2 linked regions of the Macaca fascicularis genome follow. The protein of the gene in region 1 purifies or fractionates together with the protein of each later gene. This does not show direct contact. Links are inferred from orthologs where the notes say so. Each region holds a gene or a part of one and is shown on either strand. Other genes may lie near its edges.

The links.
Region 2: the proteins of EIF3L (region 1) and ZNF746 purify together in Homo sapiens (affinity purification with mass spectrometry; 3 studies listed by BioGRID and IntAct, counting the BioPlex papers as one, with this or other methods). This does not show direct contact. The link is inferred for Macaca fascicularis from reciprocal best matches to the Homo sapiens genes EIF3L and ZNF746.

What each region holds. Positions count from the first base shown.
Region 1 is NC_088384.1:13,746,094-13,749,907, forward strand, and holds part of EIF3L (eukaryotic translation initiation factor 3 subunit L), read right to left. Parts: intron 656-3,814; coding exon 501-655; intron 1-500. UniProt on the Homo sapiens protein: Component of the eukaryotic translation initiation factor 3 (eIF-3) complex, which is required for several steps in the initiation of protein synthesis.
Region 2 is NC_088377.1:191,152,148-191,155,961, reverse strand, and holds part of ZNF746 (zinc finger protein 746), read left to right. Parts: intron 1-432; coding exon 433-732; intron 733-820; coding exon 821-947; intron 948-1,960; coding exon 1,961-2,074; intron 2,075-3,814.

The sequences.
Region 1 (3,814 bases):
AGTGGCTCACACCTGTAATCCCAGCACTTCGGGAGGTCAAGGTGGGTGGATCATGAGGTCAGGAGATTGAGACCATCCTGGCCAACACGGTGAAACCCCATCTCTACTAAAATAAAATAAAATAAAAAAATTAGCTGGGCATGGTGGCGCATGCCTGTAGTCCCAGCTACTCAAGAGGCTGAGGCAGGGGAATTGCTTGAACCCAGGAGAAGGAGGTTGCAGTGAGTCGAGATGCGCCACTGCACTCCAGCCTGGCGACAGAGCAAGCTGCCATGATCACTCCATTTTGAAAAGAGAATAAAAAACTGTCATTAACTATCAAAATCGTCCAGGTCCAGCTTTTTACCACAGCTGTTTGCCCAGTTTTAGTCTCAACTTTCAATGGCCTGAGGGAAGAGTCCTCTTTCCTCTCCTGGAAATTTGTCCTAAGAGATCAGAGTGGTTCTCTAGAAATACATATTCTGGCTCTGGCAAGAAGGGCCAGAGGCAACAGGCATCACCTTCTTGTTCAGTTCGATGTTCTCCAGCACCTTGATAGCCTGGTAGTAATCTCCTAACAGGGAGTGCAGGCGGAGGAGCCCCACCAGGCTGAAGTAACCAAGCATTTTGTAGAGGGAGTGCCGCCCATACTCCCCAGCCACACTCTCGGGGTCACCTGAAAAAGAGAGACACCGTGAATACTCTGATAGGAGGCAGGTAAAGGCATGTATACCTGACCTCTGATTGTTACTCAGTAGGCATCTCACCTACTGCCAGCCTTGAAAGCTTCCCTCAATTGGGAATAACTTCAAAGGAATACCACGAAACAGCAAAACCAATCTTATGCTAATCTTAAATTTACCAATATTTGCTTACAGGGTGGCAGTTCAGTCTGCTTATTTTTTTTTGGTCCCAACACATGAAAAGGCCCCTCTCATCAGTAAAATACATCCATGAACACTCCTCCTTTCAGAACGCACATGAGGTCAAAGCTATTTTCCTAATAACAACACTAAGATGCTACTTGCCCTTCCCACTAAGTTGAATTTTACATGATGCAAACGCTATGTTGGGTAAAATTACTGTTAACTTAAGCATAAATCAGGTAGCGACACAAAATTGTACTGATAGTCACTGTATTGTTCCTTGCCATGCATTTATTTGCACTAAAAGAACTAGTCCTTAGCCAGGCATGGTGGCTTGGACCTGTAATCCCAGCTACTTGGGAGGCTGAGGTGGGAGGATTTGCTTGAGCCCAGGTACCATATCTGAATAACCAGAGTTTGTATCAGTTTTTGTTGTTGTTATTTGTTTGTTTTGAGACACAGATCTATGGAAGTGCTACTGCATTTTGGCCTGGGTAACAGAGAGACTCTGTTCTTAAAAAAAGACAAAAAAAAGAAAGAAAATCCTTTTTTCATGGAGTATCATTTTTACTTGAAAGAACAACTGATACACAGCTGAGCGCAGCTCATGCCTGTAATCCCAGCACTTTGGGAGGCCGAGGTGGGCGTTATCACTTGAGGTCAGGAGTTTAAGCCCAGCCTGCCCAACATGGTGAACCCCGTCTCTACTAAAAATACAAAAATTAGCCGGGTGTGATGGTGTGCACCTGTAGTCCCAGCTATTGGGGAGGCTGAGGCAGGAGAATTGCTTGAACCCGGGACGCGGAGGTTGCAGTAGGCAGAGATTGTGCCACTGCACTCAAGCCTGGGCTACAGAGCAAGACTCTGCCTCAAAAAAAAAAAAAAAAAAAGGCCGGGCGCGGTGGCTCAAGCCTGTAATCCCAGCACTTTGGGAGGCCGAGACGGGTGGATCACGAGGTCAGGAGATTGAGACTATCCTGGCTAACACGGTGAAACCCCGTCTCTACTAAAAAATACAAAAAACTAGCCGGGCGAGGTGGCGGGCGCCTGTAGTCCCAGCTACTTGGGAGGCTGAGGCAGGAGAATGGCGTGAACCCGGGAGGCGGAGCTTGCAGTGAGCTGAGATCCGGCCACTGCACTCCAGCCTGGGCGACAGAGCGAGACTCCGTCTCAAAAAAAAAAAAAAAAAAAAAAGGCGGGGGGGGGGGAAGGGCACACATTTTCACAAAAATGAAGTAAACCTGTCACACCTCAAAGAAAAGAACTGACAGTGTTTGCTACCAATACAACAATTCAAAAGTTGGGCACAGTGGCTCACACGTGAAATCCCATGAGTTCAAGATCGGCCTGGGCAACAAAGTGAGACCATGTTTCGTCTTTTTTTTTTTTTTTCCTTTTTGTGGAGAACGGGGTCTCGCTATATTACCCAGGCAGGTCTCGAACTCCTGGACTCAAGCTATCCTCCCGCCTCTGCCTCCCTGAGAGCTGGGATTACAGGCGTGAGCCACCGCGCCTGGCCGTGAGACCATGTTTCTATTAAAAAAAAAACCAAAAAAACAGCCAGGAATAGGTGCACATCTGTGGTCTTAGCTACTCAGGAGGTTGAGGTAGGAGGATCACTTGAGCCCAGGAGGTCGAGGATGCAGTGAGCCATGATTTTGCCACCGCACTTCAGCCTGGGTGACAGAGTGAGACCCCATCTCAAAATAAATAAAAATTCAAGCTATTAAGCAAAAATGGAATTTTGTAAAACTTGTATCTGCCACTACAAGCTCTGTAGCTGACGAATAAATGCTTACCTGATATCAGTGGCAAAAGTAACAAATGTGACTTTTTCAAAAAAATGTAATAAAATGTGTTAACATTTGGAAGATCTTTATAACTCAGTGAACCAATTTTTTTTTAAAAATCACACATGGCCAGGCACAGTGACTCACGCCTGTAACCCCAGCACTTTGGGAGGCCGAAGCAGGCAGATCACTTGAGCCCGGGGGTTCAAGAGCAGCCTGGCCAACATGGTCAAACTCTGTTCTACTGAAAATACAAAAATCAGCTGGGTGTGGTGGTGCGTGCCTATAATCCTTCCTTTCTATATCCTGGGAGGCTGAAACAGGAGAATTGCTTGAACCCGGAGGCAGAGGTTGCAGTGAGTTGAGATCATGACACTGCACTCTGCCTGAGTAACAGAGTAGATTCTGTTTCAGGAAAAAAAAGTCACACATGGATGTAAGGAACTCATTCAAATTACAAGAGTGACCAATAACGTTAATATAACAAAAGAAAAATTCACTAATACAGTTTCAGATTCCTCACTGCACCTAATCTGTATGAAACTACCAATGGTTATTTCAAAGTACAGGGTGAGTATACTTCTATAAATGCTTGTGACCAGAAGTGTTCTGGATTTTGCAACTTTTAATATCCGCATACATCTAATGATATATCTTTTTTTTTTTTTTGAGACGGAGTCTCACTCTGTTGCCCAAGCTGGAGTGCAGTGGTGCCATCTCGGCTCACTGCAACCTCTGCCTCCCTGGTTCAAATGATTCTCCTGTCTCAGCTTCCCAAGTAGATGGGATTATAGGTGCCCAGCACCAAGCCTGGCTAATTTTTTGTATTTTTAGTAGAGATGAGGTTTCACCATGTCGGCCGGGATGGTCTTGAACTCCTGACCTCAGGTGATCTGCCCGCCTCGGCCTCCCAAAGTGCTAGGATTATAGGCGTGAGTCATGGCACCTGGCCCTAATGAGGTATCTTAAGGATAGGATTCAAATCTGAACATAAAATTCAATTATTTTTCATATATGTCTTATACACACAGCCTGAAAGTAATTTTATTATAATCTTTTAAATAACTTTTGTGCGTGAAATAAAGTTCTGACTGCAACTGGTCACATGGGCTTGGGGGTAGAATTTTCCAGTTACGGCATCATGTGCGTGCTCAAAAAGTCAGATTTCGGGCCGGGCGC
Region 2 (3,814 bases), on another chromosome or scaffold:
GTGTAATCATGAGGGGAGGTGCAGGCTGAGCTCTAGTAAATCTGCAGTTTACCATTTCTCCACTAAAATGCCCAGCAATGCTAAGTCACTGTTTACACAGCAAAATTGCACTGGGTACCTGCCATGTGTCAAGGACTGTGGTATGAAAAGATGCAATACCATGTTCAGGGAGCCCACAGTATAGGCGTGGGTAGGAAATTACTGTGTAGGGGGGTAAGCACCGTGAGAAGGGTCTGCATTGTGCTGCAGAGGCCTGGAGTAAAGGCACCCACCCAGACATAGACCTAACATACCCAAACAGGTGATTGCCAGCCTGAGATCTGGCATGTGGTACGGGATAGCCCCACTTGTCCACACATATTAGTGAGAGAGGGGCTCAGTGAAGTCAGTGGGTGGAATGAATGATGCCGGTTTCTCTTTTGTTTCTCAAAGATTTCTCCGTGGACGATGGCAGCCACGATTCAGGCCATGGAGAGGAAGATTGAATCGCAGGCTGCTCGCCTGCTTTCCCTAGAAGGTCGAACTGGGATGGCTGAGAAGAAGCTGGCCGATTGTGAGAAGACAGCTGTGGAGTTCGGGAACCAGCTGGAGGGCAAGTGGGCCGTGCTGGGGACCCTGCTGCAGGAGTACGGGCTGCTGCAGAGGCGGCTGGAGAATGTGGAGAACCTGCTGCGCAACAGGAACTTCTGGATCCTGCGGCTGCCCCCGGGCAGCAAGGGGGAGTCCCCGAAGGTAGCCCTGGGATTCCTTGGGGTTGGGGAGATCAAGTGGCCAAACCCGTGAGCGTGTGGGTGAGCGAGTGTGACACTTGTGGTTCTAGGTGCCCGTGACGTTTGATGATGTGGCCGTGTATTTCTCCGAGCAGGAGTGGGGCAAGCTGGAGGACTGGCAGAAGGAGCTCTACAAGCATGTGATGAGGGGCAACTACGAGACACTGGTCTCCCTGGGTAAGACCTGACACTCATTTCTCTGTTAAATAGGATTTTGCAAGTCCTCAAACTTCTCCTTCCACATAGTTGTTTTCATGACAGTGATATGTAAATCACCAAAAACACTGTTGACTTTGCAAGTTGTTATCTTTTGTGAAAGATGAGCCCTGGGTGATGGAGTTAAAAGCTCCCTTCTCCTTGTGTTGAGTTTCCCAGAATGCCAGGCTGGGAAAGGCGGTGGCTTCTCTCCTACGCAGGCCCAGGGTGTGGACCTTTCTGTTCTTGCTGACTTGGAGCAGGAAGGCCCCTTCTGCTCTCAGATCCAGTATGTAATTGACTCACATTAGAGAAAGACTCTTTCTTTCAGTCTTCTCCTACAAACATGCATGGCCCTTATGGCAACTTGCCTGGAGGTCAGTGGAGAACATGGGCAGACGGTGCTGCTTGCGGCAGACATTGTCTTCACGCCTCAGAACGTTGCTTCCCTCAGCCTGTGGGGCTACTGCTGCTCTCCTTGTTTGATCCTGCCCAGGAAGGGCCCAGACTGTTTCTTCCTGGGCTGATTTCCTCTTCCCGATGGTTTCTGTGTGACCCTGGAGCCGAGGGCAGCGAGGCCTATTAGAGAGGACAGGAGCAGGTGCAGATGTGAGGTTATGTTTCGTCAGCACAAGTGCACTGCTGTGTAACATGCGTGCTCTGCAGCAGTTTCTTCACCCCAGCACTGTTGACATTTTGGGACCAGGTGATTCTGTGTGTTGGGGGCCATCCTCTGTATTGTAGGATGTTCAGCAGCAGCCCTGGCTTCTACCTTCCAGATGTCAATCACCTTTCCCCCAGCCCTGGGCACGACAACCAGAATTGTCTCCAGACTTTGCCAAATGTCCCCTGGGGAGCAAAATTGCCTGCAGTTGGAAGCTCCTGCTCTGTGACAATCAAGAGATTTCGTTTCTAGACTATTGTTGGTTTTCCGGGCTGACTGTTCCCAGCTCTGACTGGAACATGGCAAAAACTAACCTTCTGTCTTTCCTCAGACTACGCCATCTCCAAGCCCGAGGTCCTCTCCCAGATTGAACAAGGGAAGGAGCCCTGCCACTGGCGCCGCCCTGGCCCCAAGATTCCAGATGTTCCTGTGGACCCGAGTCCAGGTAAGGGCTGGGAGAAGGCCAGGGAGGCCTCAGGTGATATGCGGGAAACAGAGATGGGAAGGCCAGAAAGGGTGTGACCTTTCCAGAGAAAGCTGAGGAGAAACAGGAAACTTACAGGTTTTATGTCTGAGTTTTTTATAGTTGAATTTTAATCTCTAACTTATTCAGCTAATGCTCCAGAAATGAACACTTTCTATCAGGGAAACAGGTGGCAAACCTAATCTTTTAGGAAGAGACAAAGGCAGGGAACAGAATGAGGGGAGGGAGAGGAGGACACCGAGAGGGAAGGCAGGAGCATAGTTGACCCTTGAACAACGCAGGGGCCAGGGGCAACAGCCCCCGGTCCCACGCAGCCAAAAATCTACGTATAACTTTTGACTCTCCAAAAAGTTTGCTGATAGTCTCCTATTGACCAGAAGCCTTATTGATAATACAAACAGTCAATAACACATATTCTGTATGTTCTATGTGTTACATAGTGTATACTTACAATAAGCTAGGGAAAAGAAAATGTTTCTAGGAAGATCATAAGGAAAAGAAAATAGGCTGGGCGTGGTGGCTCACACCTGTGATCCCAGCACTTTAGGAGGCCAAGGCAGGCAGATCACGAGGTGAGGAGATCGAGACCATCCTGGCTAACACGGTGAAACCCCATCTCTACTAAATATACAAAAAATTAGCTGGGTATGGTGGCGGGCGCCTATAGTCCCAGCTGCTCGGGAGGCTGAGGGAGAAAGAGTGGCGTGAACACAGGAGGCGGAGCTTGCAGTGAGCCGAGATTGTGCCACTGCACTCCAGCCTGGGCAACAGAGCAAGACTCTGTCTCAAAAAAAAAAAAAAGATATTTACTACTCATTAAGTGGAAGTGAGTCATCATAAAGGTCATCCTCATTGTCATCTTCAGATTGAGTAGACTGAAGGAAGAGGAGGGGTTGGTCTTGCTGTCTCAGGCGTGGCAGAGGCAGAAGAAAATCCATTTAGAAGTGGGCCTGCATAGTTCAAACCCATGTTGTTCAAGGTCAGCTGTATATTGACAACAAAATTAATTGAAAGCTTTGCAAAGAGTCAGCCTTGCCTCCAAGAACCAACCTTAATTTAAACCCATAGCAGTTGTAGAACATACACCCATTGGTCAGCCTTATGGTTTGGTATGATTAGAAGCACACATTTATTTAAGGTGAATCTGGTTACCAGATATCAGTGTCTCAGATTTCCCTGGAGCCAGTCAGCACCTTTGAAAGTTAAGGGAAGGACAGGTGGACACAGGAGAAAAACCAAATTCCTAAAGTGAAGACCTGCTGGGTCATTTGACCACGGAGACCACATCTCTGCAAGGCTCGACCCCTGATTCCTCCAGAAGACCCGCCCTTGACCGTCCCACCTGCCTTGGTTTTCGCTTTCGCCTGACACTTAAAAAGGTGGTGTTCCGCAGAGGCCCTCCTGTGCTCCACTTGTGTGAAATTAAATGCCTCCCCCATGTTCATCATCTCATCTCAGTCAGATTTGCACTTTCCTAAGGGTAGAAGCATGTTCCGAGCTGGGCGCTTTGCTAGTCGTCATCAGGACATTGACAGTTTAGTTCTACAGATGTATTTTGAGAATTTTCTAGGTGTCAAGGACAGTGCTGAATGCTAGAGGACAGAAAGACGGCTGAGAACACATACTATTGGGCTGGAAAAGAGGGTTACGACCCATGCACGTCCAGCTTCCTAGCCTGGGTGGGAGGTTCTGGGTAGGTGA